Nothobranchius furzeri: one gene and its partners. The protein of the gene in region 1 interacts with the protein of each later gene in a pairwise test. Links are inferred from orthologs where the notes say so. Each region holds a gene or a part of one and is shown on either strand. Other genes may lie near its edges. The genes, in order: daxx, park7, ets1 and tcf7l2.

What was found.
Region 2: the proteins of daxx (region 1) and park7 interact in binary tests that used the Homo sapiens proteins (3 or more experiments, as listed by UniProt). The link is inferred for Nothobranchius furzeri from reciprocal best matches to the Homo sapiens genes DAXX and PARK7.
Region 3: the proteins of daxx (region 1) and ets1 interact in binary tests that used the Homo sapiens proteins (3 or more experiments, as listed by UniProt). The link is inferred for Nothobranchius furzeri from reciprocal best matches to the Homo sapiens genes DAXX and ETS1.
Region 4: the proteins of daxx (region 1) and tcf7l2 interact in binary tests that used the Homo sapiens proteins (3 or more experiments, as listed by UniProt). The link is inferred for Nothobranchius furzeri from reciprocal best matches to the Homo sapiens genes DAXX and TCF7L2.

What each region holds. Positions count from the first base shown.
Region 1 is NC_091759.1:22,796,266-22,804,650, reverse strand, and holds the start of daxx (death domain-associated protein 6), read right to left. Parts: upstream 5,757-8,385; 5' UTR 5,617-5,756; intron 3,687-5,616; 5' UTR 3,669-3,686; coding exon 3,444-3,668; intron 3,254-3,443; coding exon 2,831-3,253; intron 2,693-2,830; coding exon 2,561-2,692; intron 2,475-2,560; coding exon 2,358-2,474; intron 2,282-2,357; coding exon 2,050-2,281; intron 1,958-2,049; coding exon 1,788-1,957; intron 1,621-1,787; coding exon 1,488-1,620; intron 1,049-1,487; coding exon 532-1,048; intron 1-531. Other genes in the region: tapbp.1 (TAP binding protein (tapasin), tandem duplicate 1), read right to left, coding at 7,780-7,791, 7,873-7,901, 8,028-8,129, 8,345-8,385. UniProt on the Homo sapiens protein: Transcription corepressor known to repress transcriptional potential of several sumoylated transcription factors. Down-regulates basal and activated transcription.
Region 2 is NC_091743.1:63,719,511-63,726,952, reverse strand, and holds the end of park7 (Parkinson disease protein 7 homolog), read left to right. Parts: intron 1-144; coding exon 145-214; intron 215-3,262; coding exon 3,263-3,349; intron 3,350-3,687; coding exon 3,688-3,848; 3' UTR 3,849-4,127; downstream 4,128-7,442. UniProt on the Homo sapiens protein: Multifunctional protein with controversial molecular function which plays an important role in cell protection against oxidative stress and cell death acting as oxidative stress sensor and redox-sensitive chaperone and protease.
Region 3 is NC_091753.1:25,487,551-25,495,499, reverse strand, and holds part of ets1 (protein C-ets-1), read right to left. Parts: intron 3,120-7,949; coding exon 2,972-3,119; intron 283-2,971; exon of another isoform or gene 1-282. UniProt on the Homo sapiens protein: Transcription factor. Directly controls the expression of cytokine and chemokine genes in a wide variety of different cellular contexts. May control the differentiation, survival and proliferation of lymphoid cells.
Region 4 is NC_091756.1:39,556,695-39,565,427, forward strand, and holds the start of tcf7l2 (transcription factor 7-like 2), read right to left. Parts: upstream 4,387-8,733; 5' UTR 3,959-4,386; coding exon 3,770-3,958; intron 3,627-3,769; coding exon 3,560-3,626; intron 3,388-3,559; coding exon 3,263-3,387; intron 1-3,262. UniProt on the Homo sapiens protein: Participates in the Wnt signaling pathway and modulates MYC expression by binding to its promoter in a sequence-specific manner. Acts as a repressor in the absence of CTNNB1, and as activator in its presence.

The DNA of each region.
Region 1 (8,385 bases):
ATGTGTGTGAGTAGGTGTGTGTGCGTGTGAGGGTGCATGTGTGTGTGTGTGCATGCGCATGTGTATGGATGTGTATATGCGTGTGAGGGTGCATGTGTGTGTATGTGTGTATATGTTTGTGTGTGTGTGTGTGTGTGTGCATGCGTGTGCATGTGTGTGTGTGTATGTGTGTGGGTGCATGCATGTGCATGTATGTGTGTGTGTATGTGTGTGAGTGCGTGTGTGTGCGTGTGAGGGTGCATGTGTGTGTGTGTGTGTGTGTGTATGTTTGTGAGTTTGTGTGCGTGTGTGTATGTGTGTGTGCATGTGTGTGTGTGTGGGTGCATGCACGTGCATGTGTGTGTGTGGGTGCATGCACGTGCATGTGTGTGTGTGTGTGGGTGCATGCACGTGCATGTGTGTGTGTGTGTGTGAGTGCGTGTGTGTGCATGTGAGGGTGCATGCACGTGCATGTGTGTGTGTGTGTATGTGTGTGAGTTTGTGTGTGTGTGTGTGTGTGTGTGTGTGTGTGTGTGTGAGCGCTCCACTCACCTGTCGTAACTGATTTTTAGTCTCAGGTTTCTGGGAGTCTCGGCCATGTTTTCCTCTCGTTTCCTCTTCTGGCTCCTCGTGGTTCTGGGGCTGGGGGGCGGAGACTCGCTGGTCTTCGGTGTTCCTCGCTCAGGTGAAGGATCCCCGTTAACGGCTGCTGGGACGGCCAACTTCTTATTATTCACCTGGTTTTCTTTTATGATCACCACCGACAGCTGATTCGACGCGGCGAGCTTCTTTAAGTTTGCTGTTGTCCCGTTGGACAACGTCTGCCGAGTGTCCGACTGAACGAGCTCTGATTGGCCGGGGCTGTCTCTGGGAGACGGGACGCTGGACATCTGTGTTTCCTCAGAGACGGGACTTTCGCTGGTGAGCGGCTCCATCTCAGCCCTCGGGCTTCCATCGCCGCCTGCTGGAGCACTTCCTGTCTGCTCGTACGTCTGATCCTCCTTGTCGTCCTCGCATGACTGACCTGCCTCGTTAGCATTCTCCTCCTCTTCCTCCTCCTCATCGTCATCTAAAGGAAACATCAGTAAAGTTAAGATTAAAATAAAAACAAACCAGTTTGTGCTGGTTGGACTGGAGCTTCTTACTGGTGTCAGAACTTCTAATTTTGATGATTTAATCTTTAAACCGAGCTAATCTGGATTAACGACACCGGGTCGTGACCTCTCCACGGGTCAGCAGATTATAATCTCCCGTTTGGAACTGTTATGGAAAAATTCATGTCTATTAATTCTTGATCATGGACTCAACCAACTGAATGTAAATGTATCGCTCTGTGCCTCTCTGCATGCCCACTCGTCCAGAACTCACACACACACACACACACACACACACACACACACACACACACACACACACACACATTGATAAATCCATGACAGGAACCGAGTCGAGTTTACATCAAATCTGAGAAATCTCACAAACAGTTTTAATCCCAGATTTAATCTGACCTGCGGCAGCCTGCTGAGTGCTGGCCTGGATCTCCTCCTCTATGTCAGGGTCTGATGATTCATCCTCCTCCTCGTCCTCCTCCTCCTCCTCCACGCCGTTCGCCTGACTCGTCTGTTTTCCTTCTTCTGGTTTCTGATCATGGAAGTAAAAGAAGTAGAGTCGGAGCGCAGATGTTAACTCCTGGAACTGTTTTGATGCTTCCTGTTTTATCCTCGGATAAAAAGGTATATAAAACAGCATTCCGGACCAGCAGGAAGGGAACATTCCGCCTCGCTGATGCGCCGGGATTTTTCCTTCACCTCTTTCTCTTTCCCGTTTTTCTCCAGTCTCCGGATTCTCTCCTGCTCCTCTGTGTCGTCCTGTTTCACGGCGTACTTTTTGATGACATCATCCAGACGAGACAAAGCCACTTCCCTGTTGGACCGTAGCTTCTTCAGCAGAGACAGGTCGGACAGAGCCGGGTCGTCAGCTTCCACCGGAGGAGGAGAGATGAGAGGATTAGGCACAAACATGGATGAATGAATGAAAGTATTCAGCGTGAACGCGGAGCTGGAGCCTCACCGGGCTTGTAGGCGTCGGTGAGACGCGAGCCGAAGTTGTAGACGAGGTCGAGGTGTCTCCGCTCCTGCAGGAGGCTGCCCGTGTCCCTGAAGGCCTCCTGGGCGATCTGACTCACCTGTTTCCGGTTCAAACACAGGTTGTGGCGCTCGTTGACGCGCACCACCAGCTGCCGGATGTCGTGATAATCCGGAGGGTTGCTACGAGCCTCGGGACTGTTGATGAAGCGCTCGATCTGACAGGAAGCAGGAACACATCCTACGTAAACGCTAATCCACCCGCTGGAATGACACCGAAAGAGAAGAACTCACCTTCCGGTTGATCTCAGGGAAGCGAGTCGTGTTGAACTTGATCTTCTGCTCGATCACTCGCCCCGTCAGCGTGTTGCAGCCCTTCAGCTCACACAGCTTCTCGTAAATCTTCATCATCTGGAAACAGACGTTAAAAAAAAAAAAGTCACCCGTCGTCCCACCGGAGATGCAACGTTCCGGGTTTAATCTGCCGCTCAGCCGACCTTCCGCTTGAGTTTGTGCTCCTGGATGTACGTGGAGTCTTCCGTCTCCATGTCGTCTAAAGTCAGCTCGGCCTGCTGCAGCCGGCTGATCTCATCGTTGTACGACTTCAGCAGGTTCTCCAGGTGTGCGATCTGGAAATCAGAGCGAGTAAAACCATAAGGGGGGGGGGTTCTGCTGAAAGGAAATCAGCTTTTCGGCTCATTTTACTGCAAATAAGTGAGAAAAAGTTCAAACAAGCAGGATTAAAGCCTTCAGAGATAAACACTCACCTGTTTCCTTAACGCTCTCTTAGCCTTCCGCTGCGCTTCTTCACTCTCCTCCTTGACCTCCTGACCTCCTGACGTCGAGGCTCGTTCTGCGGCTGGTTTCCCCTCCTCCTCCTCCTCCACTTTAGTTTTACTCTGGAGTGAATCGGGAGCAGACCGGGTGGCACCCGACGTCGATGCAGAAGGCTCCGCCTGGCTGAGGGCCGGCCTCTTCTTGACGCTGTGCTGCTTGAGCACGGTGCACAGTTCATTAATGTAGACGAATGTTTTGGAGCTGTTGGCCTGAGCGCGGGTCAGACATCGTCCCAGCGTGTTCCTGAACTCCACGGAGGACAGGAACTCAGCGCTGGCCTTGGCGTGCTTGGTCTGGAGGAAGGTTAAGACCTCTGGGCAGTCCTTAGTGAGAGACGTGCAGTGCTCCAAAAACTGGAGAAAAGGCAGAAAGGAACCTGATGAAGCGTTTGGTGAATCTGGTTTTGTTAGAGAATAAAACTATATACATATATATATATATATATACATATATATATATATATATATATATATATATATATATATATATACATATATATATATATATATATATATATATATATATATATATATATAAACTCACCACACTGAACAGCTTCTGGTTCTCTGCCTGCAGAGCGTTTACGCTCTTCCTGTTGGAAGCAAAAGGAGAGTGGACGATGTGTGTGGGAGCCTGCTGCTGACGGCGGGCTGGAGAGACGTTACTGGTTTGTCGCTTGGAGGAGGAGGAGGTGGCAGAGGAACACGCAGGTTCATCATCTTCAAGCACAATGATCTGATCTGCCAATGAGGCAGGAGCCACCGCCATCCCAAGTTCAGCTTGTTTCTGTTTATAAAACCCAAACGAGATGAAGGAGATCAGCAGAGCGGCGAGTTTATCATCGATAACGGTTAGGAAGTGACAGAGTTCTCTGTAAACCTCTAGAGTTGTATGGAGGTCGTTTGTTAATATCTCTGGTGATTTAAACCCTTTTAGCATATTTAAGAGAACGTGTGACGTTTCGGCTGTTTATATTCAACGCTGGTCCGCTTCCTTGCTTGGTGCAGCTCTCTTTAGGGTGCAAAACAAAAGTGTAGTTCTGAGACCCGATGAAGGAGGTGGCCTCAAAAGGTTGCAGCTTTGAGGCCCACACCCTCCTGTTATCAGACTTGCATTGCATTCTGGGATGTGAGTGAAAACGTAAACAACAACAACAGCTGCAGCATCTCACAACAAGCCACATATAGAGGATCTACTTCACTCGTGTTGATCAGAAGACTGGATTTGTCAGCTCTGACTCAGAAAATGTTCAAATTATTTATAAACAGATAAATAAAATATATTTATGTAATTGTGTAAATAAGGTTTGCTGAAGGTTTTTTGGTTTATAAACAGACTTCAGACTAAAGAGCAGATAAAACATCTCAGAACTTTTACAAGGTTTTTAATTCAGTAAAATAACGATTATTTGTTGTCGTCTTCCTCCGCTTATCCGGGTCGCGAGGGCAGCATCCCAACTAGGGAGCTCCAGACCGTCCTCTCTCCAGCCGCCTCCACCAGCTCCTCTGGCAGGACCCCAAGGCGTTCCCGGACCAGATTAGAGATGTAAACTCTCCAACGTGTCCTGGGTCGACCCGGGGGTCTCCTGCCAGCAGGACGTGCCTGAAACACCTCCCCAGGGAGGCGTCCAGGAGACATCCTGACCAGATGCCCAAGCCACCTCAGCTGGCTCCTTTCGATCCGGAGGAGCAGCGGTTCTACTCCGAGTCCCTCCCGAATGTCCGAGCTCCTCACCCTATCTCTAAGGCTGAGCCCGGCCACCCTACGGAGGAAACTCATTTCGGCCGCTTGTATCCGTGATCTCGTTCTTTCGGTCATTACCCAAAGCTCATGACCATAGGTGAGGATTGGGACGTAGATCGACCGGTAAATCGAGAGCCTGGCTTTCTGGCTCAGCTCCCTCTTCACCACGACAGATCGGCTCAGCGTCCGCATCACTGCAGATGCCGAACCAATCCGCCTGTCGATCTCCCGATCCCTCCTACCCTCACTCGTGAACAAGACCCCGAGATACTTAAACTCCTCCACTTGAGGTAGGACCTCTCCCCCGACCCGGAGTTGGCAAGCCACCCTTTCCCTATGATTATTAATAATAATATTTATATTTAGTCATAATTCAATTAATGTATCTCTAACTTCCCAGCATCTTACAGTAGTGATTTAAATATTCATAAACATTACATCAAAACAAAATACTTGTATGTCTCATAAAAGTAGATTATGTCCATTTCAGTTTCACTCTCAGGCATTTTGAAAACATTAAAATAAAATTAGACATTCCAAAGATTTCAAACGTTTGTGTGTAGAAATAATGTTGATGTCATATTTAGCCTAAATGTAGATGTTAAAACATAATCACCCTAACCCAATCATAATACATAAATGCTTTAAAGAATAATTTATTATAAAGTATTGGATTATTTGGGATTATTTTAGTAGAAACAAACATTTCTAATTAAGGACCTCTTAGGAAACGAGAATTAGCTTTTAATAACAACATTTTTCTGTGCTTTGCTTTAATAGTAAAACACTGTCGCTGTTAACTAAAACATCAAAGCACATGTTGTTAAACACGTTAACTTACATTCCCGCGAAATTATTAGCTTTAAAGGACAGAAACGAAACTGAAACGCCAGTAAACCTGAGATAATTCTGATCTTGTGTTAAAATAGATAAGAGCTACAGACAGTTGACCACAAATACCAAAAACACTTACCTCTTGTTTAAGAGCAGTTCGATGAGAAAATAAAGAACATTTGCGGGTTACAACGCAGCTGGTTAGCTGATGTTAGCATTAGCAACAAGTAATCATGTTTATTTTTATGGTTAACACGAAAATTGGTCTTAGTCTGTTTGTTTTGGATAATAAACAAAATAAACTATTGTTTAATTCTAGTTTTAACCCAATGAGGCTTCCTGTTTACTCACAAAAAGCTTCTAGACTTAGCTAAATTGTTAACTCGCGACCCGCTAAACTCCGACGCACGTAGTTGACTCTGGTTGGTCAAAAGACACGTTGGGATGAGTAAAGCCTTCTGTCATTGGACAAAAGGAATGTGTCTTTTTCTCTGGTTTATTTTCTGGTTAACTTTTTTTTTACCGCCACCTGCTGGAAACATGTATGACGATAGAGGTCTCCAAGAAGTTTGTTTTCCACGCCGAATTTCTACAAGTTAAAATAAATGCAAGCGTTTAAGTGGAATATTTCTACAAATTATAAAGCAGATGACAACAGAGACCAAAACTTGCTTTTCATGCAGAATTTCCTGCAGAATTTTAATTACATCTTTCTCATTAAATGTTTTAGTCCTGAATGTCTCAACTGAAATGTCTGTGGTGTTTATTTTCAGCTACAAACATATTTGTGTCAGCTTGTGCAAAACTTCCTTAAATTTATGCAAACATTCTAGTCAGGCTCTGACACAAGGCAGCTGCTGTTTAAACAATTCTGCAGGAGATGCACAACAAACTAATTTATGTGTTTTTAAAGGCTACACTGCTTTTTAATTTGTTGAAATATTCCAGAAGTGTTGGTTTATATTATTAAATATCAGTGGCGCCATTAATTCTAATGGTACTTGTTTGTTATTGAATTTACTTTTCTAGTTGGCACAATTCATCTCCTAGAAGGTTTTATTGAGGTAAAACATCTTTAATCAGATGAACTAAATTGGTGTTTTAAATTTCTAAACTCACTTAAAGTTATTTACATAAAATTAAAACTACAATCACAATTCCTATAATTAACATAAATACTAATTTATCACAAATATGCCTATTGGATCATTCCTAATCCCACAAGTTTATCATATTGAAAAAAACAAATTTCATATCTTCTATCTATGTGAATTGCTACTAAAATGGATTTTTTTTCTTCACAAAGATCAGAATTAGATGCTTGTTCCCCATAAAAGTCTTTATTTTAGTGAAGTTTCCACCAACACAACCCCTGACTCATAACTATGCAGAATTATACACAAAAGACTTTTCAGACTTACAAAAGTCACATTTCATTAGAAGTTATGGAGAATTTTAAATTAATTTTACTGTCTCCAATAAATTGAGATTTCTTGTCCAAATAAATATTTTTTTCTGGTATTAAGTTCAGAACAAAAATAATAATTAAATCGTTTTAACATGTTTAAAATGAAAATGATATTAAAAACTACATTATTTTAAACTTAAAGAGCAAGTCACCCCCAAATCAACTTTTTTCCCCTGATAAACTATATAAATGCGTGTCTAATCATGCTGCAGACACGTGTAGTCAATAAATTTGCACTTTAGTGCATTTTAGTTCAAATTTTAATTTTCTGCCTAAAACCGTCAGTGTTGTGCCGTTGTCAGGTAAAAACTCTGCACTGCATTTGAATTTAAATCTGCCATCACTATTGGCTAAGAGGTACCCAAGAATGTTAGCTGGTACCATATGATGTCACAATGTCATTGTGAGCCTGTGTGTGTATTTTATTAGTGGCTCCGCCCTCTCGGTCTGCTAGGCAACAGCATTTGTTGCATTTTTCAAACAGGAAGTGGGAGTGGAGCAATGCTCTGGTAGGGGGTGACTTGCTCTTTAATAAAAGCTTCTAAGAAGTTTTTTCAATTTGTAACAAAATCATTAAATAAAAGATAATTTTATTTATAAAAGAGCTTTGTCACTTTTAACGTGAAACCGTCACGTCGGTATTTACATAAAACAGGATAATTCCAGGGAATTCTCCCGGATTCATCTGCAACACAAAACAGTGAAAAATCCAGCTGATCCACGTTTAGACTCATCACCACGCTGGCTGAAGGAACAGAATATTTATCCGAGCTTTAAGCTGAAAAGCTGCAGAGAAGTCACGGAAAACTTAAATCCAGTCGTCTTCTGTTAACTTTATTTCTGCTTCTGTGAGGAAAAAGAGGGAAAAGTTATAAACATTAAAACAAAAAGTGAAGATGTTTTAGTTTCAAACCCGACGCTCCTTACCTTGTCCTGTCCATCTGTTTTATCTGAGCCTAAATAATAAAAAAGGACACAAAAGTCAGGCAAAAATACAAAAACTGGATTTAAAGAGCTAAAAGATGATTTTTGCAGCCTTAAGGGATTAAATTCCTGTATTTAATAATCTATATTATTCCCACCTGATCCAGTAAGGGTCCAGGACACAAACTTGATGAGTCCGTAGAGAACCAGAGCCACGCCCACCATCGCCATAGAGTCCTCAATGGAGGGAGAGCTGAACCCTGAGGGGAACAGATTAACGCCTAAATTACTTTCGTTTCCTGATTCATTCAGACATCAAAACTGATTCTGCTGTAATCATTTAATCCCTGAATAACATATCTGACTTTTTAGGAAACGATTGTAAAAAATTTTACTTTTTCCCTTTTATTTTCAGACCCTCAAAAACCAAAATTTCCATGTTAATCTAAGATATTTTCCGTTACTCCCAGATTACCGATGATGTTGAGGCTCACGCTGGCCCGCCGTGTTCCTCCC
Region 2 (7,442 bases), on another chromosome or scaffold:
ATTTGATTTGCAGAAAGCTCTGCATAGCGGATACTTTTAAACACACTGCCTCTTTGTGTTATTACAGAATGGCCAGTGAATATGTATGGAGGGCCACATGGCCGCTAAGTGACTCTGTGTGCATCTGTTTTTCCTTTCTCCCAGTCGCCTGCTGTGAAGGAGGTGCTGAAGGATCAAGACAGCAGAAACGGCCTGATTGCAGCCATCTGTGCAGGTACAGCTTGTGAAAACAATCCAGCCATAATTATACACATTATCTAATAGATTTCCCTCTCTATGGGTTAAATATGGTGTGACCTTAATCTTGACAAGCATGTCTGGGACTAAAGAGATTCAGATTAATTAATTAATGACCACACAACAAGTTGGTGGAATTTGTTTCCTGTGCAGCACGACATGCTCACAACTCTGTGTCTACACCTGACGTAACTAAAAATAAACAGACAGGGACATACAAAAGCTTTAGGCAGTTACTTTATTTGGTGACCGTATAGCTGTTGGGGATAAAACTGTATTTGAATATATGTGATTTTGACTGTAAACACCTGTAGCGTCTTCTAGAAGGCAATAGTGTGAACAGATGATGTGCAGGGTGAGAGGGGTCCGAGGGGATGTTTCCTGCCCTCTGTGTGATGCGTCATGGTACAGCGTGTCAGTGGAAGGTAGGGTATGGCCTATAATTTTAGATGATTTGACTGTTATGTGTTGTTGTTTTTTACGTGAGTTGGAGTCCATATTACCATACGAGACTACTATGGGTGAGGTGAGTATAGTCTGAATGATGGCAGTGTAGAACTGTACAAGGACGTGGTGCATTTGTACATGGTTTGTAAAGGTTGATTGTGCAGTCACTGAGCAAGAAGCATCTGACTACGAATGGGATGGGCAGCCATCCTCTCACGCCTAGTGAATGACACTTTAGGGTGGCCAGTTAATGAATTTTGAAGTGCACAGAGATGGACTTTCTGATTTAAAGCTGCAAAGGCAAATCTGCAAAACAAGCTAGCTTTTAAACACAAAAATGGTCACAGAACACTCACCTCTCCCATCGGCTACTATCCCCTGGCCACGCCCACCTGATATAGGAATCCACGTGCCAGGGGACACGAGAGAGCGCAAAGCACCAGTTACCGTTTTCCAGGTCCAAACGTCTTTTGTTGACTTCAAATGGTGTTTTTCTTTTTGGGACTCTGGTAGATTGTCCTAAAGTTGAAGTGGTAGCAGCCGGCTGTTTCTCCTTCTCTGATATTACTGAGCACCTCTCACACCAGTGACTGGAGGACCCAGGTAAATGCAGAAATGCGGTGGCCCAGTGAGACAAACTACTGGCATCATATACGTATGTAGACGCCTCATAGACTGGCGCTCCCCATAGGAGCTGACGTATTAGCGCAGCTGCCATCTTGGATAGGTTCCTATTTGCCCCCAGTGCATTTATTTCTACTGAGAAAGGTGTTCACCCAACTACAGTAGTCCATTTTGTTAGGGTTTGTAAGAAAACCAGATCTGTGGTGTGACATGATAATAAAAATATAAATGAATTAATTTTATATTTTAATAAAACATATGTTTGAGTGTTCATTTGAATTTATTCCACTCACTTTCTCCCTCACACACACACTGGGGCTGGGGAGCTAAACTTGACAAAAAACTTTGTGGCTGTGCTGTCACGCTGTAACTCGGTAGTTAATATCGCAATGTGGTGCAGCCTTACTTTCTGATATAGAGACAACAAAAGACTTGAGCGTGAAACAATGATTTTCAGTTCAGAAATATTAGCAAATGGAGACAGAAGATGTTCCTCTGACAGTAAGCTGATGGGGCCACTAGCGAGTCACCATAACAGACCATCAGCATACCTGTATGTCTCCCATTAACCTGAGCAACTCCACTGTTTCTAACCCTTTTTCTTGCCTGCTTCCCGTATTAGTAATTTGAAGAAAAATTTCCCATTATGTTCATTCTGAATTAGCCGCAGAAATAAAAATAGATGGGGGAATACTCGGACCAGAAAAAGCCACACAGATTTACGTCATTTTGGAAATTTGCATTCATTAATTCATCCCTTATGGCTGCCGACTGGAAGGCTGTATTGATCTTGCAGCAAAAAAAAGCGGAGTGTGTCTCGGCTTGTTGACGCTAACTATTAGCAAGTACACAACATGTTTGGGCTTGTGTTATTTGTGGAAATAAAACATTAATGTGGCATTTTTACCCAAGAAAGGAGTGAACGGAGGCAGCAGAATAGTCGCAAGGCATTCAAACCATAACTCTTTGTCACCTGAGAATTTAATATTGAAAAATACTTCACTCTCTTCTTGCAACACTTTTTAGGTTGAACCCTCCTTGTCATTCTGCGTGAAAGGTTGTGTACTTGATTGTGTCCCTGAGTAAACCCGCACCCTCTGTATTTGACAGCTTTCATAAGCAGAGAAAGGACACATGAAATACAGTTGAAATGGGGTCAGGGAACCAGTGCAGCAAAGCAGATTGAAAGGTGTCCTAGAAACGAGTGAAAACCTCACAGGAATATTCTCTTAAATGGAAACGGCAAGCGTGCTCGCTGCAAGACTCATTGTTCCGACATCTTAACCTGGCACGTTTTCAACTAGATTCCTCAGAACTGCAATCTTGTTCCTCAGTGTTCAAATAGTAAAAACGTGGTATTCGTCTTGTTTTTTCTCCACCGTCTGACTCTTTCGTGTCCCTAACTGGGTGGAGACTCGTAACAGGAGTCGTTTAGCTTTGAATGGCAGTCTGTTGTTCTGCCAGAGGAAAGTGTAATCTTGAGACTGCACTGGAAGGCAGCCAAAGGAGTGTGATCAATAACTTTCTATTTATTAACAGGTTTTGGACGAGCAGTGCGGAGACGTCACCAAAGTTAATTCAGCAGCAATCGTCTGCGTCCTCTGCCTCTCCTTATTTCTTTTCTCTAACGTGTTGCAGATGCTTTAGCAAAAACCTGAAACTGTACACTTTGTGAGTTTATTATTAGAACCAACAATAGGGTTGAGGACACTTTTAGGACACAAGTGTTATCAGATATTTTCTATGTGTCTCATTCATTTATTATTTACTGAAATCCATAATCTAAATATGCAACATTCGGTGGAATTTCATACATCTGTTTTTCTCTGTGCTGAGCTTAAGGAGGAGATACTTCCAGTTAGCAGCCTTTTGTCTTTTTCACTATGAAAAGAAAATGTGTGTTATCTAACAGGAGGTTATAAAAGAAACCTTAATCTGCTTCGCACTTCTTCAGGCCCTACTGCTCTCCTGGCCCATGGCGTCGGCTACGGCCGCACAGTAACCACACATCCTGCCATGAAGGAGAAGATGATGGCTGGAGGTAAAAATCAATAAATATTAGAGCATCTTTTAAATAAACTATTACAGCTATCAGTGGGAGAGTTTGTAAGTGTTGGTGAAAAGCAGCAGATGGTGCTGTAATAGCTTTTAGTTGCCTTCGGAGAATCATGTCAGCAGCAGTTGGAGAGCACCGCCCGCCGCTCTGAGGTGAGAGTGGGTGCAGGATTTTGACAGAACGTGTAAGAACCAGGTCTATTTAAATGTTGACTAGTTATCTTTGTGCGGATGTGTTTGGAGGACTTATTAGATCTGAAATGCGTTGCTGCTAGCTTTTGGATCTCCATCATCCTTATGGTATTGCTCTTTGTCTTTTTTTAGACCACTATAAATATTCAGAGGCTCGAGTGCAGAAGGATGGACATTACATCACCAGCCGTGGGCCAGGAACCAGCTTTGAGTTTGCCCTGGCCATTGTGGAAGAAGTTTTGGGGGGTGACTTTGCAGCTCAAGTCAAAGCTCCTCTTATTATGAAAGACTAATTTATTTACAACTGTGCTAAAAGCACTGCCTGATTAACAAAAAACCCACAATACCCGAGTCAGGTCTTCTGCCACTGGACATGAAAGTGAAACATTTTCTTAACTAGACATGAGGATTTCTTTTCTAACATGTTTTGTTTTAAAATGTCAAATGCACCTTATTACAGTAAGATGGGTACTAAAGGAAAATCTGAAATAAAACAACTATTTTCACGAATTACTTGATTGTTTTGACCGCTACTGTTGTGCCACCTGAAAATAAAGCAATCTGAAGTTGCAGGTCATTGTTTTTATTTCACCTAAATATAGGCTGCTGAACAGCAGGAACGCGGGAAGACGAGTCCAGAAAGATTGGCAGCTTTTATGACCAATGAAGAGCTTCGGCTCGTCTGCAGTTGAGTTGTAATTGACCAATTACGTGTCGTGTTAGCCAGTGGGCGGTGTTTGGTAATCAGCGCGTGGTGTGTCCGAAAATCCAGACGGTCCTCATCACAGACAAGAAGAAAGACCAAGAGAAGGGATTTTGTAGAAAGGTAGGACTGTTGGGGTTTCTCTTTTACTCACAGACGTGAATGCGTGGCTTAGTACCCGCACCTCTTTCCCGCATTAGTTATTAGATAAACCTGCTGCCAGTTATTGTTAACGCGGCGGTAGTCACGGTCAAATAAACAAACCACATGGTTCGTCGCACCGCACCAATCTGCATATGTGCGTTGTCATTAGTGGGGGAGTGTTTCCGCAACAGGGCTAGTTTAGCCGAGATTAGCTCGCAGAGTGTCGAGCGTAAAGTTCGCTGCAGTCTCCAACAGACTGGATTGACAGTACCCCGACGAAGAGATTGTTGCCAGTGCAGCGCGCGCGTTGGCCCGCTCACAGATGCGCACACTGCGGTGCAAGTGAGTGGAAGCAGCGGGGCTTTAGATCCGCTGCACATATGTGAGGACACGCGGAGACATCAGCTGCAGAGGGAGCTCTCCATCCTCCCAGTGTCAGCCGCAGTCAGGCTGTCTGGCTGCTGCTAATGCGGTGCGGCAGAGGCCAGGTTAAGTCCTCCACAAAGACATCTAAACACTCACGACCAGTGGAGGAGGTGTAACCTCCAGCCATCATCAAACTGCATGAACAAATCTTCAGCTGACGCTCCGATCTTCACGTTGGCACTCTGAACAAGAACAACCCGTGGTGCCTTTTACAGGAAATGCAAGTTATTTCCTCACTGGTTAGCTGCACATTCAGCAGCAGTCATTATTGTTGCATGCAAGCCAAATAACATGTAAATGGTCATCCCAATTTAAAACTCAAGTGACCTTTTCACCCACCATTGTACAACCAGAGCAGCATTCAGCCCTCTAAAGAGACTAGACTATCACTGTTAAAATCACATCCTATCAAAATCACAAGGGTGCACCTGCCTGAAAAGTTCAGGCTAATTGAGCTTGGGTGCTTTAGATGAGGGTATGTCTGTCAGGTTGGCACATCATCATCATGCATGGCAGCCTGGAGGACTAACATGACCTCTTAAACTGTGGTTGGATGACAATGTATGGCACAATGTCATTAATGTTGTGTTTTTCAGCCGGATATTTCTGGAACATTTACATTTTTGTGCCATTCCACATCACATGTTAGAATTATTCTGCTTGAGCAGCTGTACAGTAAAGAGCTGGAGGCTTGACTCCCTATTTCTGGATGGGGCAGAAGATGGTGGGGTGGGGGAAGGGTGAGGCTGAAGTCTCCCTTCCTGCCTGAGTCACTGGTTTAGCTAATGATGCAATTAGACCACTGCGTTTTGCATCTTCTGATTAGATCCCTTTCTTGCACTGGCCTGCAGACAATAAAGACAGAAATTGCTCAGCTGAGTTCATTTTATTTTTAAATGGGTAATTTGTTACATGTGGACACGTTTTCTACATCATCATAAACAACTACACAGATTTGACAATGGTGTGTACCGTGGAATCTAAAATTACAGATCACATTCAACACAAAATTTAGTAGCTTAAAAAATATAAGTACATACAATTTATATGGTGTCAACATGACACAAAATCATTCAACCAAAGGAGGATGGGCCAGGTTTACTGTTTATTGACTGTGTTTAACAAAAAGATTTCCAAGAAATTTTTTTATGAATTGAGTTCTGTTGCAGAATTTTAACTGGTTTTCTAATCCCCCTTGTGTTCTTCCTGTGTTTCTTTTTAATCTCCATTGTATTTTTTTCTTGCTTAACACACAGCATAGGTAAAAACTTTGCTATGCTCTTTATTAAGCAAGGAAAACAAAAACAATGAAGACTGCTTTTCTTCTTATGTGTATATTTTACTATACTTCTTTGGTACCCCCTCCCAACATCCTATATGTATATAGAGTTTGGCCATGACACACAGAGCTCAGTTGTGGGGCAAAATCTACAGTTGTCTTTCAAACTGTCTCCGCATGCTATTGGACAACAACCAAGTGGCATACTTATCGCTATGGATGTCAATCAACAAGGCAGTTCATCATACTCTGTTGAAGAAGACACAAATACATTCTTTTCTAAATGGAGGAATTAAGTACCTCTGTCTAGTCTTGGCTCAAGGAAAAGCCCAAGTCTAAATGGTCCAAAGTTGATTCCAAAGCCGTTTCAAATGAGCTGCCACCATCTTAGTTGTTCTCTCTCATCGCATCATCCTGCATACCAAACCAATAGAGCGCTGTTCAACCACGGCTGATCCGAAAGTCTTGTCTTAGAAACCTGTAAAAGTGACCGTCTTACCCTCTACTGTGATAAAGTGTAAACAGTATGCCATTTTCCTTTGGCTAAGCCCGCCACCGTCCCATAGAGCCCCATGCAATCTGAATTGAGCGACACTTAGGCTTAGCTAATAGTGTTACTCCTACTTCACACTGGAAGCATCAGCAACTCGGAATGGCACGCGGAACCTCACTGCTTCAAATATAATACATTATAGTCTGTGAGGTGATTCAAACGAGCTGCGATGCAGAGATTTTCAGGCAAGTTCCAGAAGCGGCACGCCGCACAGCTAAATGTAGGATTGGGTTCTACTTTTGCCGCAAGCTACTTCCGGAACAAGTCAGTTTCCGCAGTTAACATAGGGCTAGACAGGAAATCACACACAGTTTCAGTGTAAAATGCTCTATTGCAGTGATGCAATTTCAGATCTATGTGGCTTACGTCTATACGCTTGACCTAATGGCTTATTTTCTCCCTGCATTGTGAAACAGTGTGTTTTTCATGGCATTAATTCTGGCATGGAGAGAAACAACATTATATGACATCAAACAGTAATATCAAACATGAGTTCTTTCTTTTTAGTTTAATGGCAGATGGCACAAACCAACTGTAAACTTTGAAGTCTCAAAGGATTCTGTGATCTCGCGAGTCCAGCGAGGAGGACAGTGGAGAAGCTGCTCCACAGCTGAGACTCTCCCTGTGTGTCCTGGTGCACGGAAAAGCTCACAAGTAAACTGATCAGCTGCTGTTCCGTGACGCTGATGCTTCCAGCGTGAAGTAGGGGTAGACATCTGCTTACGTACAGATGTCAATCACAGTGCGTTTGCGAGCATTTGAGGAAATATCTAGACAGAGAG
Region 3 (7,949 bases), on another chromosome or scaffold:
CTCCAGTAGTCAACGGGCAATCAGGCGGGGTACACCCTGGACAGAGAGCCAGTCCATCGCAGGGCAACACAGAGACACACAGGACAAACAATCATGCACACACACACACACACACACACACACACACACACACACACACACACACCTAAGGACAATTTAGACAGACCAATCAACCTAACAGTCATGTTTTTGGACTGTGGGAGGAAGCCGGAGTACCCGGAGAGAACCCACGCATGCACAGGGAGAACATGCAAACTCCATGCAGAAAGATCCCAGGCTGGGAAGCGAACCCAGGACTTTCTTGCTGCAAGGCAACAGCTCTAACCACTGTGCAGCCCTGACTACCAACCCTTCTAATAAAACCTTCTTCACACTGACTTCCTGTCTTAACAATTATGCTCTCTAGCAGCTCTTCTCTGCTTTTATAGCAGAGGTCTGTCTGTATTTTGATCGTCTGACTGATTTATCTTGTAGATAAATAGGCTTAACTAGTTGGTATGTTTGTATGTTTTAAACTGCCTGAATATTTATTTGATAAATGGCTGAATTTATGAATTATAAAGTTAATTTAAGTGCATAAAGTTTGCTGTTGTGAGTTTTAAATATGGACAAAATAAAATATGAACACCAGATAGTAAACAATATATCATTTTAAACTACTGTGTGAATGATTTTTCCCCCTTAATCAAGCAGCCTTCAATAATAAACTACACAACAGGAGGGTGTCAACTCTAATCGTGTAAAGCAGCCACATCTAGCTGCTGCTGCCATTTGTTTCTGCGAAGACGAAAATGATTTATTTGTAAATAATGAAAAGTTGACACATACAGGAGAAACTCAAATAATTAGAATAGTGTGATTTTTATTTCAGAAATCCAACTTAGACCGAGAGACCACCTAAAGGCTCAGGAACACTTTGCAGGTGCTTTGGATTCATTAGCTGATTAGAGTGTGACACTTTGAGTCTTCACAATATTTTTATTGTCTGAGATTTAGAGTGTGGGATTTTCATAAGCTGTAAACCATAATCGCCGCAACTATAACAAATTAAAGTCAATTTCGTTTCACACCTGTGCAATGATAGTAAAATGATCTTGAATCTTGAATTAAAGGGTTCAATATCTGGCTTTGTGTGTAACGAGTCTGCCTCAATTATTAAATTTGAACTACTGAAATAAATTAACTTTTGCACCTTAATCTGATTTTTCCAGTTTCACCTGCATATGGCGGTTTAAGAACCAGTGTGACAATTTGGGGGCTGGAGTTGTTTTAAGAAGATCTAAATTTCTCCAAACTGAGGTTGTTCAAAAAGTAATCAAGCAACCGTTGAGATAAAGAGTCAAACATCAAAGGATCCAACCCTCAGTTTAGTGAGAAACCGTGTTCAGTTTGAGAGAAATGAGTCGGCCCAACGACTCCGGGCGCAGAGAGTGTGTCAGAGGGTTTTTCTGCTGCTTTTTGAGGTTTGCAGCAACTCATAACAACCTACGCTCCTAGCACAGAAACCTCAGCAACTCTCTATGGCAAGATGCAAATGACTCTAACGTCTCCAGGTGTCTAAAAAAGCTGAAATGTGTTCTGCTTGGATTAGAGATGCAAACAAGAAAAAGAAAACACATCGGGTCAGGGCTCGGTCATTTTTTTCCACCCAGCATCAGCGTTTGCGTCAACAGTTTAGAGCTGGGAGGAATGAAGCAAGGGCCAGAGAGGAGTGTGTGTCTCTGGCAACAAACATCAGCAAATCCCATCAAATCCAAACTCCCTCTCATGCAACTCACAAATATGCTCACTTTGCTTCCACCCCCCTCCCTTCACCACCACCACCACCTCTCCTGAGACCAAGAGGCTTGGGAAAAAGATGGCCGCCCTTTGGCCCCTTCTGTCTTGCCCCCTGCATCCAGCTCAGGGAGGTGACGGAAGAAAGCTTGTGTCCCCCAGCACTCCCCCACCCTCCTTCCTTGGCATGCATCCCAGTCCTCCAGCATCAATCACTCTTGTCAACTAAAGAAGGCCAGAGTCAAACGCGTGCAAGGCAAATGCACTGGAAAGAATGTTCCAGCTTTAAATACAGAGAAAAAAAACTAATATGAGAAAACAATGAAATAAAAACTAGAACCAGAGAGCAGGAGGCAGAGGAATTCAGGGTATTCAGTTGTCCCCAGAAACACACTGGGAGGAGGGAGAATGGAACTGGAGGGACTGGGGGAGTGATATCTGGTAAAGGCATTGGCCTCAGGGTCAGCATCAGCAGCAGCTCCAGAAATAACAGTGCAGGCAAGTACTGTGTGTGTGTGTGTGTGTGTGTGTGTGTGTGTGTGTGTGTGTGTGTGTGTGTGTGTGTGTGTGTGTGTGTGTGTGTGTGTGTGTGTGTGTGTTTGTGTGTGTGTGTGTGTATGTGCATGCATGCGTGTGTGTATGTGTATGCGCATGCATGTGTGTGTGTGTGTGTGTGTGTGTATGTGCATGCATGTGTGTGTGTATGTGTATGCGCATGCATGTGTGTGTGTGTATGTGCATGCATGTGTGTGTGTGTGTGTGTGTGTGTGTGTGTGTGTGTTATTTTAGAAGATAAATCTGTTCACCTACATGGGGACCCAGTTTAATAACACAGACAACAACATGAAGCAACAAATTTGACTTCAGGGCCTAAATTAGGATGATGACTGATGCCAAGGCGGAAGTTTGGAGGAAATTCCACGAAAATCATAAAGTTCATTCAAGCATCTTTTGAAATGGAGTTCAGTGAAAGTTGCACATTTTACTGAGAACAATAAATTCAGCGTGATGCATAAACAGATCTAAAAACCAGAGAAAATCATTCAGAGAGCTGTAACAGCCAGGGTTTTTGGTTGCTGGTGTTTAAAACCCTTTGGAAGGAGAGAGTGTTCTTAAATATGCTCAAAATTTTTATTTACTGCATGATTTGATTGAAACCACAACCTGTTTGATTTCAAGTGTGTTTCCTTCCTACCTGTAGGACACATGTCACGGCCGTCCGGTACCTCCTGCAGGGGTATGTCGTGGGGGTGAAGGGGCTGTGAGGGGTAAAACTGCTGCTGGGGGTGAACCACACCTGGGAGGTGGGTCTCAGGGCCCACTGCAACTCCTCCAGCTGGTCTCTGTAAAGAAAAAGCAGTTCAGTCGCAGGAGCGCACAAGTTCCACAGTTAAAGTGCTTCTGCACGTCTTTACTGCGGGGTGATTTATCTGCATAGGGTGGCTGTTGAAAAGCAATTTTCCACGGCCCATAGATGTGAGAGTCATACTAATGTACGTGTTTTAGCTCCTTCAATTAAAACCCGAGAACACTTAGGCCATTAAACATCAGCTTGTATCTCAGGAGTTAGCTGGAAGAAACAGAACAGCTTTATATTTATGGGACTCAGAGATAAAAATGGTTGCCACTAAAACCCGAATGGAGGGCAAAATGAAGACCTCTGGAAGAAATTCAAGCTTTACATTAAACAATTTAAATACATTGACTGAAAATGACATAAAAAGTGTGGCAGTGCAGCTTTAGATGCTTTTTGATTTATTTAGTTATTTAATGCAACAACCTCTTCAAAAGTTTTGAAAATCAAATGTGGGAGTTCTTTTATTGCCGAATGAATAAACTAAACAGTTCATCAGATTTGGCAAAGAGTACAACCTTGGGTTTTAACTACCACTTGTATGATTTTATTGTTTTTCTGCACAAATAAGCCTTGCAGCTAAATGAGCGTCGTCGTACGGTTCTTTTCCTCTTCCTCTGTGCTGCTAATCACAGAAATGTTGCCGCTAAAGGCTGCACTAGTGAAGGAACATCTGAACTCAGCGCTTGAGAGTAGAGGTATAACATCTGATGTGAGGCAGGGGGAAAGGGCCGTTCACTAGGCCTCTTCTAGCATTTTAGTTTTCATGTGTCAACAAAAATTAGGAGATGGTGTTTGACGTTTGTGTAACAATCTAGTGAAGTGACAGCTCTGCTGTGCCTTTAGCTGCATGCGTGTTAGACTGGTCATTAATGCTACAAAGTCTTTATAAATCTCAGGATTTTTGCAAACTTCCTTCAAACGCAGAAATTGTTTAATGTTTTATCAGCAGCATAAAAAATAAAAACACCAAGAGCAAAGTTGACTTTTTGAATGTCACGTGTCATCCGTGCATCAGCCTGGTAGAATGAGTGACTGCCAATCTGATACACAGCGCCACTTTGGCCTTGGCAGCGTTTATCAGTAGCTGTCCAGCTTCACGGATGGCTGATGTGGTGAGAGAATCAGGGAGATCAACTCTTAGGGTTCTGCAGAGATCCGCATGGAGAGCAGCGAGAGGGGAAGGTTAGAGAGGCATGGTGGAGCTATAAGAATGAAGATAGCAAACAGCGCCGTATCTTCTGATCGGTTTGAGTGTGGAACAACCTGAACGTGTAAACCAGTCAACAGTTTGGAGGTGATTCCTGGCAGCTGTAGGATCATTTCTGCATCTGATCTTTATCACCTTCATCAGCTCATGTAATAAATATTTCTGTAACATTAAAATCCTCTCCATTAGTTTCACTTACATCAGATTTGTGACTTATTTAATTAAAGCTTTTTTTTTTACTTGTTTAGCTTGTGTGCATTAACGTTTCCAGATTCACACAAACGGTTGCACTGCAGGAACTCAGCTTGCTTCAGTTTAAGATGGAAATTCCCAGTTTTCAGTTCCTGCTGCTGAAAAAGCTAAAGGTGGGAATTGTCTGACTTGTTGATGCCACAATTCCCATCTCTGGAGCATTAAATCAGAGAGAGAAACCTTTATTTTTTCCCTACTTCACATGTCAGTGAAACATGGAGGGAAAGTGCAGCATCTCTATAACTTATCAGGATTCAGCAATTAGTGCTGACTCAGTCAGAAGTGTTTGGTTACGTCTGAGAGACGAGGCAGTGGACAGCGCTGTGGACCGATTGCTGCATTCTTATGGTCACTGGCTAGTGTCTCACTGTCCAAATGTTGAAACAGCATACTGAGCACACACAAGGAGGGAAAACAGGGAAAATGGTCTTTGGTACATCAAGCTAATCTCATCGTTGTTGTCTTCCTCCGCTTTTCCGGATCCGGGTGGCGGGGGCAGCATCCCAACTAGGAAGCTCCAGACCGTCCTCTCCCCGGCCACCTCCACCAGCTCCTCCGGCAGGACCCCAAGGCGTTCTCGTACCAGATTGGAGATGTAACCTCTCCAACGTGTCCTGGGTTGACCCGGGGGCCTCCTGCCAGCAGGACATGCCCGAAACACCTCCCCGGGGAGGCGTCCAGGAGGCATCCTGACCAGATGCCCAAACCACCTCAACTGGCTCCTTTTGATCCGGAGGAGCAGCGGTTCTACTCCGAGTCCCTCCCGAAAGTCCGAGCTCCTCACCCTATCTCTAAAGCTGAGCCCGGCCACCTGACGGAGGAAACTCATTTCGGCCGCTTGTATCCACAATCTCGTTCTTTCGGTCATTACCCAAAGCTCGTGACCATAGGTGAGGATTGGGACGTAGATCGGCCGGTAAATCGAGAGCCTGGCTTTCTGGCTCAGCTCCCTCTTCACCACGACAGATCGGCTCAGCGCCCGCATCACTGCAGATGCTGAACCAATCCGCCTGTCGATCTCCCGATCCCTCCTACCCTCACTCATGAACAAGACCCCGAGATACTTAAACTCCTCCACTTGAGGTAGGACCTCTCCCCCGACCCGGAGTTGGCAAGCCACCCTTTTCCGGTCGAGAACCATGGTCTCAGATTTGGAGGTGCTGATCCTCATCCCAAGCTAATCTCATAAATTAATATATTATTTTGCTACTCGTAACATTTCGGACACAGTAAACTAATGCAAAAGCCTGACATGGAGATAAAGTCAACATCTTAGTGTTAAACGCTCTCTGGAAGTTTCCATAGGATTAGAAACCTCATGCAGTGAATTTATGCTGTTATATGTTTGGCTTCTTTCTGGTTTCTTGACAGTTTTCCTTCTCATCAGCTGAGTTTCATCAATTATTAGGGAGGATTGCAAATGAGAAAACGTTCTGAACCATGAAGCAGCATTTAGTCAGGTCAGGCAGAGATAGTAACTCAACCACTTAGATCTTCATGCAGTCTGAATGTTATATTTTCGTCTTCGTCTTCGTCTTCGTCTTCCTCCGCTTATCCGGGTCCGGGTCGCGGGGGCAGCATACCAATTAGGGAGCTCCAGGCCGTCCTCTCCCCGGCCTTGTCCACCAGCTCCTCCGGCAGGACCCCAAGGCGTTCCCGGACCAGATTGGAGATGTAACCTCTCCAACGTGTCCTGGGTCGACCTGGGGGCCTTCTGCCAGCAGGACATGCCCGAAACACCTCCCCGGGGAGGCGTCCAGGAGGCATCCTGACCAGATGCCCAAACCACCTCAACTGGCTCCTTTCGATCCGGAGGAGCAGCGGTTCTACTCCGAGTCCCTCCCGAATGTCCGAGCTCCTCACCCTATCTCTAAGGCTGAGCCCGGCCACCCTACGGAGGAAACTCATTTTGGCCGCTTGTATCCGCGATCTCGTTCTTTCGGTCATTACCCAAAGCTCATGACCATAGGTGAGGATTGGGACGTAGATCGACCGGTAAATCGAGAGCCTGGCTTTCTGGCTCAGCTCCCTCTTCCCCACGACAGATCGGCTCAGTGTCCGCATCACTGCAGACGCCGAACCAATCCGCCTGTCGATCTCCCGATCCCTCCTACCCTCACTCGTGAACAAGACCCCGAGATACTTAAACTCCTTCACTTGAGGTAGGACCTCTCCCCCGACCCGGAGGTGGCAAGCCACCCTTTTCCGGTCGAGAACCATGGTCTCAGATTTGGAGGTGCTGATCCTCATCCCAGCCGCTTCACATTCGGCCGCGAACCTACCCAGCAAGAGCTGAAGGTCAGAGCTGGATGAAGCTAGGAGGACCACATCATCCGCAAAAAGCAGAGACGAGATTCTCCTGCTACCAAACTCGACACACTCCACACCACGGCTGCGTCTAGAAATTCTGTCCATAAAAGTGATGAACAGAACCGGTGACAAAGGGCAGCCCTGGCGGAGTCCAACCCTCACTGGGAACAGGTCCGACTTACTACCGGCTATGCGGACCAAACTCAAGCTCCTCTGGTAAAGGGACTGAATGGCCCTTAACAGAAAGCCACCCACCCCATACTCCTGGAGCGTCCCCCACAGGGTGCCCCTGGGGACACGGTCATAAGCCTTCTCCAAATCCACAAAGCACATGTGGATTGGTTGGGCAAACTCCCATGCCCCCTCCATCACCCTTGCAAGGGTATAGAGCTGGTCCACAGTTCCACGGCCAGGACGAAAACCACATTGCTCCTCCTCTATCTGAGATTCAACTATCGATCGGACCCTCCTCTCCAGTACCTTGGCGTAGACCTTTCCAGGGAGGCTGAGGAGTGTGATCCCCCTATAGTTGGAACACACCCTCAGGTCACCCTTCTTAAAGATGGGGACCACCACCCCGGTCTGCCACTCCCTAGGAACTGCCCCCGATGACCATGCAATGTTGTAGAGACGTGTCAACCACGACAGCCCTACAACATCCATAGCCTTGAGATACCCAGGACGAACCTCATCTGCCCCCGGGGCTCCGCCGCTGTGTAGTTGTTTGACTACCTCAGCAACTTCTGCCCCCGAGATCGGACAGTCCATCCCCAGGCTTCCCAGCTCTGGTTCCTCCTCGGAATGCACATTGGTGGGATTGAGGAGCTCCTCAAAGTATTCCTTCCACCGTCCGACTATAGCCTCAGTTGACGTCAGCAGCTCCCCATCCCCACTGTAAACAGTGTGAGCGAGTTGCTGCCTTCCTCTCCTGAGGCGCCGGACAGTTTGCCAGAACCTCTTTGGAGCCGATCGATAGTCTTTCTCCATGGCCTCACCAAACTCCTCCCACGCCCGAGATTTTGCCTCGGCAACTGCCACTGCTGCACC
Region 4 (8,733 bases), on another chromosome or scaffold:
CCCTTTCCCTTTAAAGCCGCATTAAAACCATCTTTCATCTTGTCCCGGCCAAAAAAAAGCCATTCACACCCGCCGAACACGCATAATCCAAATGATGCACTATTGTTACGTTCACGCCACTGACACGTCTAAGAAACGGTTTTATTTCTCACCCATAAGGCCACTGGAATACACGTGCACCACAAAGAGGCGCTTGTGCATCTGACTAGAGAATCCTGCTAAGTAAAACAGTAATGTCCTAATGAGAAACGGTGTGTGTGGATTTAGTTTTTGCAGAAATCTGCAGCAACAACATGGCTGAACCAAAGCTATTGTTTCAAGAACGCAAAGCCTTGGAAGGAGAATCACGGCAGCTTCTGGGAGCATCTTTTTTTTCTTCCTTCCACTGGTGTTGCATTTTCACCCAGCACCTCCCCAGTTTGCCCCACCTCTACTTGTTCTTTAAAAAGAAGGAATAAAAACTCCTCGTAATTACACGTCGAAACTCAAAACCACTGTCAGAAAGTCTCCGGGCCTGGAGAGTTATACGGGGCCAGGAGTGGCGTCAAATATCTTAACATTCATAAGTCTGAGAGGCACTAAATAAAGCCGGTGGATTTACGGCCCTGCAGCCCCGACGCAGGAGAGCTGGCCGCCCAGATCCTGCTCCACCTCCCTCCCCTCGGCCTCTGCGTCCTCAGACCTGTTGAGGTGTGATGTTAGCCTTACCGCTCCGGAGTTAACCCGCCGCCTCCCCCCCCCAAAACCCCGCGTTAGCAACAGCAGGAAACAAAAGGTAGACACAGAAAAGAAAAGGGAGGGTGGGTAGAGGGAGTAAAAGGAACAAGGAGGACCGTTAGAGGAGATGAAAAACCAGGGTGAACTTGGCAGGCCGCTTCCCCAATTCAACCTGCAGCACGTGTGTGTGTGGGGGGGGCACAGCATCATGTCAAATTACTAAATGATGCTAAATTGTAGACCTGTTTGGACTGAGGTGATGGGAAAAACAAATTCTCACTGTTATGACTCCCAGAGGTCAAACTATGCAGAAATTATTTTTCTCTCCCACCCTCTCAAGCTGTGCAAACGCAAAAATAACACAAACAGCTTAAGGTGCCCGCAAGGATTAGACGTGGTGACAGCTAAAGGATGAAAATGACTAAACGACCTGGAAAATGACTATTTTACTCAGATGTACTGCACCAAAAAAACTGAATTAAATGCCTACATGTATAAAAATGGGAATAAAATATCTCAGCAAGAAGAGGTGAGCAAAAAAAAAGGGGGGGGGGGGGGGAGCACGCACCGAGAGTCAAAGGCTTCCATGACAAGACAGAGGAAGTCTTCTCGTAATAATACTGGCAGTCATATTCACAGCCTAACGTGACAAGTTAGAGAGCAAGACAGCTAATCAATGTCCAGGTGAATTATTTATACCAGCTTTAAGTTTAATAGATTTATATTACAGCCACCGCTGACTTCAAAGACCTAATGGTTGGACACACAGGGCGCCGCAGACGCAGGGGGCCGACAGGAGGAAGAGCACGGAGAGCCAGATCCACCTTGTTCAGGTGGAGTCGGCTGGATAACGTTTGTCTGCAAATATGCACAATTAGTCCGGATTTTTCCTGCAAGGTGTGGAAATGTTACAGATGGTGTAAGGCAAGATAAATATAATTCTTTTTTTTTATTGTGTGTGAAAACAGAAATTAAAGGGCAACGCAGTCTGATCAGCAGCATCTCTTGGACAGAATGCACATATTTGAGCTGCACAACAAAAGGAGCGCTGTGCAAACCTGCAACAGGACACACACACACACACGCACACACACACACACACACACACACACACACACACACACACACACAGAGAAAGAGGAAAAACCAATAAACTCTGCTACTGAGAAAAGGAAGTCCTTCACTTAAAATCACGAGAGCCGTGGTGAACGTGTGTTAGTGTCAGCGCTGATGAGAACAACCAGTGACTAATTCCCACCACATACCAGCCGGCTGCAGCAGCGTTAACCAGGGCCGGACCATGCAGAGACAGAGGCAGGATTAGAAATAAAATAAAAACAGCAAAAACCTTCTCATGTGGTAAAAACATATTGGTCATAGCAGCGAAAAACGTTCATAAATAATGATCAAATTATTTCACGTGAGCCCATGGGCGACTGAGTCAAGAGCTGAAATTGTGTCAAACACAAAAGAAGGCATTATGTGTCAGGTGTGAGCTCATTTTCAAGGTGTGCACATGCAGGGCGCGCACACACTCACACACACACACAAAACACAGAAGGTAACAAATCTGGCTAAGCAAAGCTGAGTTAGTGGGTCATATTTCCTACGGCCTGGTCTTCGCCTTAACCTTGTAAAATAAGATGACAGCTCCTAAAGCAAAGACTTGTAATTGCAGTCATTTAACACAAGTTTTTTGTTTGTTTGTTTTTTAAAGGTTCATGGTTGAGAAAATGATTCTGCTTTAAGGTATCCATCCCCCTGTGGGACCAGTGAGGTGCATAATTACAGAATGGCTGATTGTGACTAAATAACTAACATGAAAATATTTAGAAATGTGGCTTTAGATCAGCATGCGTTGGGTAAAGGCTGTGGACACCTCCAGGAAGCAAAGGGTGGCACACATGCTCAACAAAGCAGAGCTGCGCAATCCAATCAGATAAACAAATTACAACTTTTAAAATATTTTTATATATGTTATAATATAACAGTTAATGTGGGCTTACTCAAGTGCACCTTTCATAAAATTTCCTTTCACGTTTCAGTCACATGCAAATCACCCAGAAAAGACTCATTTGCATATTTATTTTATTGGTGTGGTTTTACACTGCTTACTGTGTCAGAGCCATGCTTGTGTTAGAAAAAAGGGCATTTTAAATGAGGCTATGCTAGCACGAATCAACTGCATTATTCAGCAGTGTTGTTTTTAAATTAAATTAAAAATAATAATAATAATTCATTTTAACTGGGTTTTTACTGGCGCACAGCAAAAATTTTATTAAGAGGAAGAACAAAAATTTGAATATCGCCGTGTGTTTCATTCCAAAATTGCTAAATCTGAGATTGAGAGACATTTAATAAAGTTTTTATTTTTTAGAGCGCGTGCCGCCGTACTGTCCACTTCAGGAACAGTTGGGAAAACTTGGCTTTGTCGGCAGCAGCTCTTCTGGGTGACAAAACAAACCCCGACTCGGGGACACAGTGTGTGTGTATCTGTGGGTGAGGAATGTGTGTAGAAATCCAGCTGAAAATTAAATGAACTTACTGTTCGTGCTGTTGGAGAAAGTGATCCATTGGGAAGGTAGGGGCTTGTGAGGTCGGGAATCATTATAAATGGATAGCCCGGGTACGGTGGGCTCTTGAACAGCCCTCCATCTTGCCTTTTCGCAGCTAACATGGCGGGGGGGTGGGGGGAGAAAAAAAAGAGGAAAACCTTTTTTAAAGTGGCCATGGAAAGTTTTTAATTTCCTGAAAACTACATTTGAGTTAGAGAGGAGATTCCCTCTCCGTCAGGCACATTTTATGTAATGTTAAAAGAAGAAAACAAGCCAAAGTAACTCACCCTCTTCTAAACTTTCTCTCGTTTTGTCTCTGAAAGTTTCAGATCTAGGCGGAGGCCGTCTTTCCGCCTTGAAATGCAATGAAACACAAGGATTGCGTTAAACTCGAGGGTGCTGGAGAACTTCTCCTTCCAAACTCTTCATTAAAAATTAGGAAATGCAAGGGCCTCTGTTTTGTGACTAACTTCAGCGGGGATCGATCCGAAACTTACCTCTGAATCCGAGGAGCTGTTCTGATTCGTTTCCGACTCGTTTACGAGAGAAGATTTGACGTCTGCTAAATCCCTTTCTGCCGAGGAGTTCTCCGAAATTTTCTCCTCCTGCTCCCCTTCGTCTTTGAAGGAAATCATTTCATCGTTCGCACCCAGATCGTCCCCTCCACCGCCGTTGAGCTGCGGCATGTTTCCCGTGCAGAAAGCTCTCCTGACCGGGGCACAACACAAACTTTCAAACCCTTGATCTCGGCGATCTCGGTAGTCCGAGTTTAAGTTTTTTTTTATATAAAAGAAAAACGCGGGGTCTTGTATTGGCGTTTTCCAAAGCTCTGGCGGTTGGTAGAAAACTATATAAGAAGAAAAAAAGAAGGGGGGAATCTTGGCAGAAAAAGGAAGCCGGAGAAGGAGCCGAGCCGCCCGGATTGAGTGAGTTGAAGTTGGTCGGAGTGGTTTTCAGTTCAAAGGCGGCGCTGATTGACAGATAGAGAGGGATGGAAATAGAGAGAGTCTGGATTCAGGATTATTGACAGGGAGAAACACACAAGAAACTAATGAGATTCAAACAGGGAGGGACTTGAAGTGACGTTTTCATAAATAGGAGGAAAGAAAAAAAACTGAAAGGGAGAGAGGGGGGGGGGCGGGGGGACGACTGCAGAGAAAAGGCATGTGAGGAGGGAAAAAGGCAGTTTGGGAACAGGACAGTGAGGGTGAAATAGCAGGAAGATAGGAGGATGCTTGCAAATGTGGATTAAACGCACATATGGGCGGTCTCCCGGTGGAAGGAGGGAGAAAGAAAGGAAAAGAGGGCGCTTCCTCCGGCTGTTTCACCCTCCTACTCCTGGCTGACACTTCCCAGCTAAATAAAGTTAATGTTACATGTTTAAATAAAAATGTGTTTTTTTTATTCTTCTGGCAAATTCAGATGCTTAAATACTCAGAGCCTATCAAAGCAACATTACTCAGAACTGTTAGCGATTCTTATTTCATCTGCTTTGTCAGCTCCTTAGATCTATTTTTCATTATGTTGGCTAATGTTTCCTTAGATCTATTTTTTGGGATGGAGGGTGTTATTGCATCCTACTTTCTCGACAGGTGTGATGTCCTCTGGGACTAACCTGAATTCCTCACAGGCAGCACAGACTGAGCTGTTTTTATTTTTCCCTCTTCTTCTCTTTCCTCCTCAGCAGCCAGGCTACTGGACACAAAGAGACGGATGCAGACTCAGATGCTGCAGCTCTGTCTTATTTTAGTCTGGATGGACCTTTAAAAGACAGAAAATTTGAGTGTTTTTGGTGATCTAGAAATAAAATTGCTGCACATGAAATGGAAAAAAGTATATAAGATGGTTTTATGGTTTGTTTTTATTAATTTTATATTAATTAAATTTGTTGTGACAAAAACAAATCTTATTAACTTTTCTCATGTTCTATGCAATAAAGAAAAAAAACACCTGATGAATAAAAATGCAAAAACATCTTAAATGTAACACCTAAGCATCACAAACCTGCAGTTTAATCACAGCAGCTGACACTATCTCATCAGTTTTCTCTTATCTGGTTCAATCTAGAGCAACAATCACAAAAACATCAATTAATTCACCTTTGGCAACAAGAAACGGAGCTAAAGCATCCAGATGACACCGCCTTGCAGAAATGAAAAAAGGAGCAAGATCAAAACAAGTCACTGAATTGTTGATTAAAAATATTGTCTCGTGTCTTCATGGCGTAAGGCGTGTGAAAACAAATATTATGACACTAATTCCTCTGTATCTGCTGTCAGCAGTGTTGTCAGAAAGCGCTGATAGGGAATTACGTGCAGCACCAAGGTGCTGGGAGCCTAACACGCCCAGAACCAGGCAGTTCCATGAAAGCAGGTGCCCATCATTGATGCTCTTTATCTGGATGAGGTGAAAGCAGCATTTGCTTGCTGCAGCCCATGCAGACAGGAGGAGCATGGAGGAAAGGGTTGCCATTACAGTTTTGTTTTGTTTTTTTTATCCTGTGTGTCAGTGTTCAGGGAGCCGATGGAAGAAGACACACCCTGCTGCTCAGGGGCCCTCCAAACCCGACCCCCGTGCAGACCAGACCAAAGCAGAGGGGGCTCCAAGCCACCTCCGGATCGCCTCAGCAGGTTCCTGAGAGTTTAGTGGGGGCTGGCAGCGCATTATCACGCATGCCGTGGAGACACCTGCCCCTGATGGTGATTCTAATCTGCAGGACCCTTTAATAATGTGATGATAGGCTTTGCTGCTGCTGCCCTGAATGATGGAGTAGGATCCTTCCCTGTGTCCCGGTGTCTTCTGGTACTATTCATACTCCTGGTGGGGGAGGATTGTCCCCTCTTCTGCACTCTTCCCCATTGCATCTGAAACTAGAGGAAAAGATGCTGATCCAGCCTGATCAGCTGATTCCTGCCTCTGTTAGAAGCTGTCAAAACATAAACACCTAATCTGAATAGGTGACCTCACAGACAACTCCTTCTCAAGTGTCCAGATAAAATATTTGTTCCTCCTGGCTTTCCTTTCACCTTTATAGTGTTTCCTGCATGAGGCAGAAACACAAAAAAAATCTAAACAAACCAAAATAGCTGTTTTACTACATAACCTGTGTATTAAATGTTATAAACATAGTATATTCTCAGATTATTTTCTATCTATTACATTTAACTAATATTTTTGTTACATTATAAAAACCAAAGCAGATGCAGATTTGATTTTTAAATATAATTTTCATAATGTCCTTCAAGCATGTTTAACATTAAAATAATCACTAATCTAAAGTCCTGCAGGTAAATGAACATGGATGGATTTTGCACTGACGATTATGGGTACACCGATATATTGGTCGGCCGATATTTACCTTTTTTTTCTGAAACTAATTCAGCTTCAAATGTTTTGTGCATCAGCTGATGTCATTAGTGACATTTTAGCAGGAAAATAAGGTAGAAGATGTCTAAACATCGGCCATGAAAATTGGCCCAAAATTTGCCAATACATATCGGCCATAAAAAAACAACATTTACTCTACTGCCAACTTAAATATAACTCATATAGAGTGTTTCTACCTATTTTCACTCATTGATGGACTTTGTGTTTTTAGTTAGTAAAGAAAATCACTGCACAGTAAACCAAATAGCAAGAGAATGACATCATCATTCATCTCTACGCTCTTAAACCGTTAATTATCCATCAGGAAAATCTCATTATTTGATTAACATTTTACAACTGGACATGTTCTGCCTATTTTCCTCCCCCCACACATCTCTGTTTGTTTTATAGTAGCAGATTCACTCCTGCAGCCATGTTCGTCGGCTAATTAGGACTTACTATTTAACCTCAGTTGCTTTTAGTGGAGTGCAGATTTGCTCCATTGTTGGGAGTTGTGTAGTATAACATCTTTTGGCATTTCAGTGCCAGCCAGTGCAGCTAATATAAATTATATCAATGGGACAATACTGTAGTTAGCTGTAATTACATCCATACTAATGGCCCTCACCATTATTTTTGCAACAGAGGGGGAAGGAAATCTGAATTACCTGATTATGAAAAGCACGTTTTTATGCTGTATATAATTTCTTTGAGTAAAAACAAATCAGATGACTAATATGCGTGGTTGTATTTGTGTGCAAATGTCAATATTTTTACATTGTCCTCTCAAAGTTAGCCCTTAAAGCTCCAATTCATTCGTTACTTCAATAAACCTGCAGTGGTCTCTGGTATGAATGGACGCCTTGTGAGTCATTCTCTTGGAAAAAAGCTCTGAAGCTCCTGTTTCAGGAAGTAAAGTTGCACCTGATTTATACTTCTCCATGAGCTCCACAACAGAGAGACGCACACAGAGTGTCAGAAAGGTTTTTACATGCAAACTTCTGTTCAAGCAACGGAGTGTTGCGAAACAATTCCCCGCCAGGACAACAGAGGGCGTAGCGCTGTTCTGTGGTATCCTGCTACCATAACACTCATGTATCCGGTCTACAATAGTGTATTTACTAATGTGTTTATATATTTCAGAGACTTTATAACGCGGACAAATTTGTCCTTCATTCTCCTCCACCGCTTCATGTGGTCGCCACCTCTAAACCCATGTTTCCAGTCATTTCCGTCCACGTTTGCTCCACATTTTGTACTCCTTCAGTCACAGGTGAATAAGCATTAATATTTTCTGACTTTTTCCACGATGCGCTCTTCAATCTGTTCTGGGTCTACCTCTAAAAATCTTTTTAGTTTTTAACAGGGCAACGTCGGGGCTGGTGATGAATATACAGGAAGCGGTGTCCTTACCAATCACAATTTTGCAGTCTCCGCCACTTTCAACAGATGTTTAAAATGTTGGGCATGTCTCCGTCATCCTCTGTGAACCCGTTGGAGAAACCTTGCGCCGACGCATAGTGGCATTGCGTGTCTCCGCACCTACGTGGACAGGGAAGTATAAATCAGGCTCAAGACGAAGGAGAAGGGGCGTACAATGGAGGAATTTAGAGTTTTAATCATTAATATTCATGATATTTGGAGATCTCGCCTCTGATTGGATAACAGCAACACAACTCTCCCACTGACTCCATTTGCCCTGCAACATTGATGTTTTATCTCCACAAATAACACAAGCCTGAAGGAGTTCTGTTTTGTGGTGGAGTTGCTAATGCTAACAGTTAGCTTCTACTAGCCGAGACATTCTCCACTGTTTGCTGGATGCTTAACCAACAACAGCCTTCCCTATCACAACCCAAGATGGCTGTGTCCATGAATGTTCATTTTCAATGTGACGTGAAACTGACTGCCTTTCCAATCCGAGCGTTTTTTCATCTGGTTTCTATCAGCGGCTAATACAGGACATAGGGGTAGAAGACTATTTCACATTCATCCTGCATATGAAACTCAGAGTGACCGATCTTATATAGAGCATAAAGGGTTTTTAGTGAACTTGGTCTTCAATGTATGTTTTTATGTTTCTCTGTGCATTCTT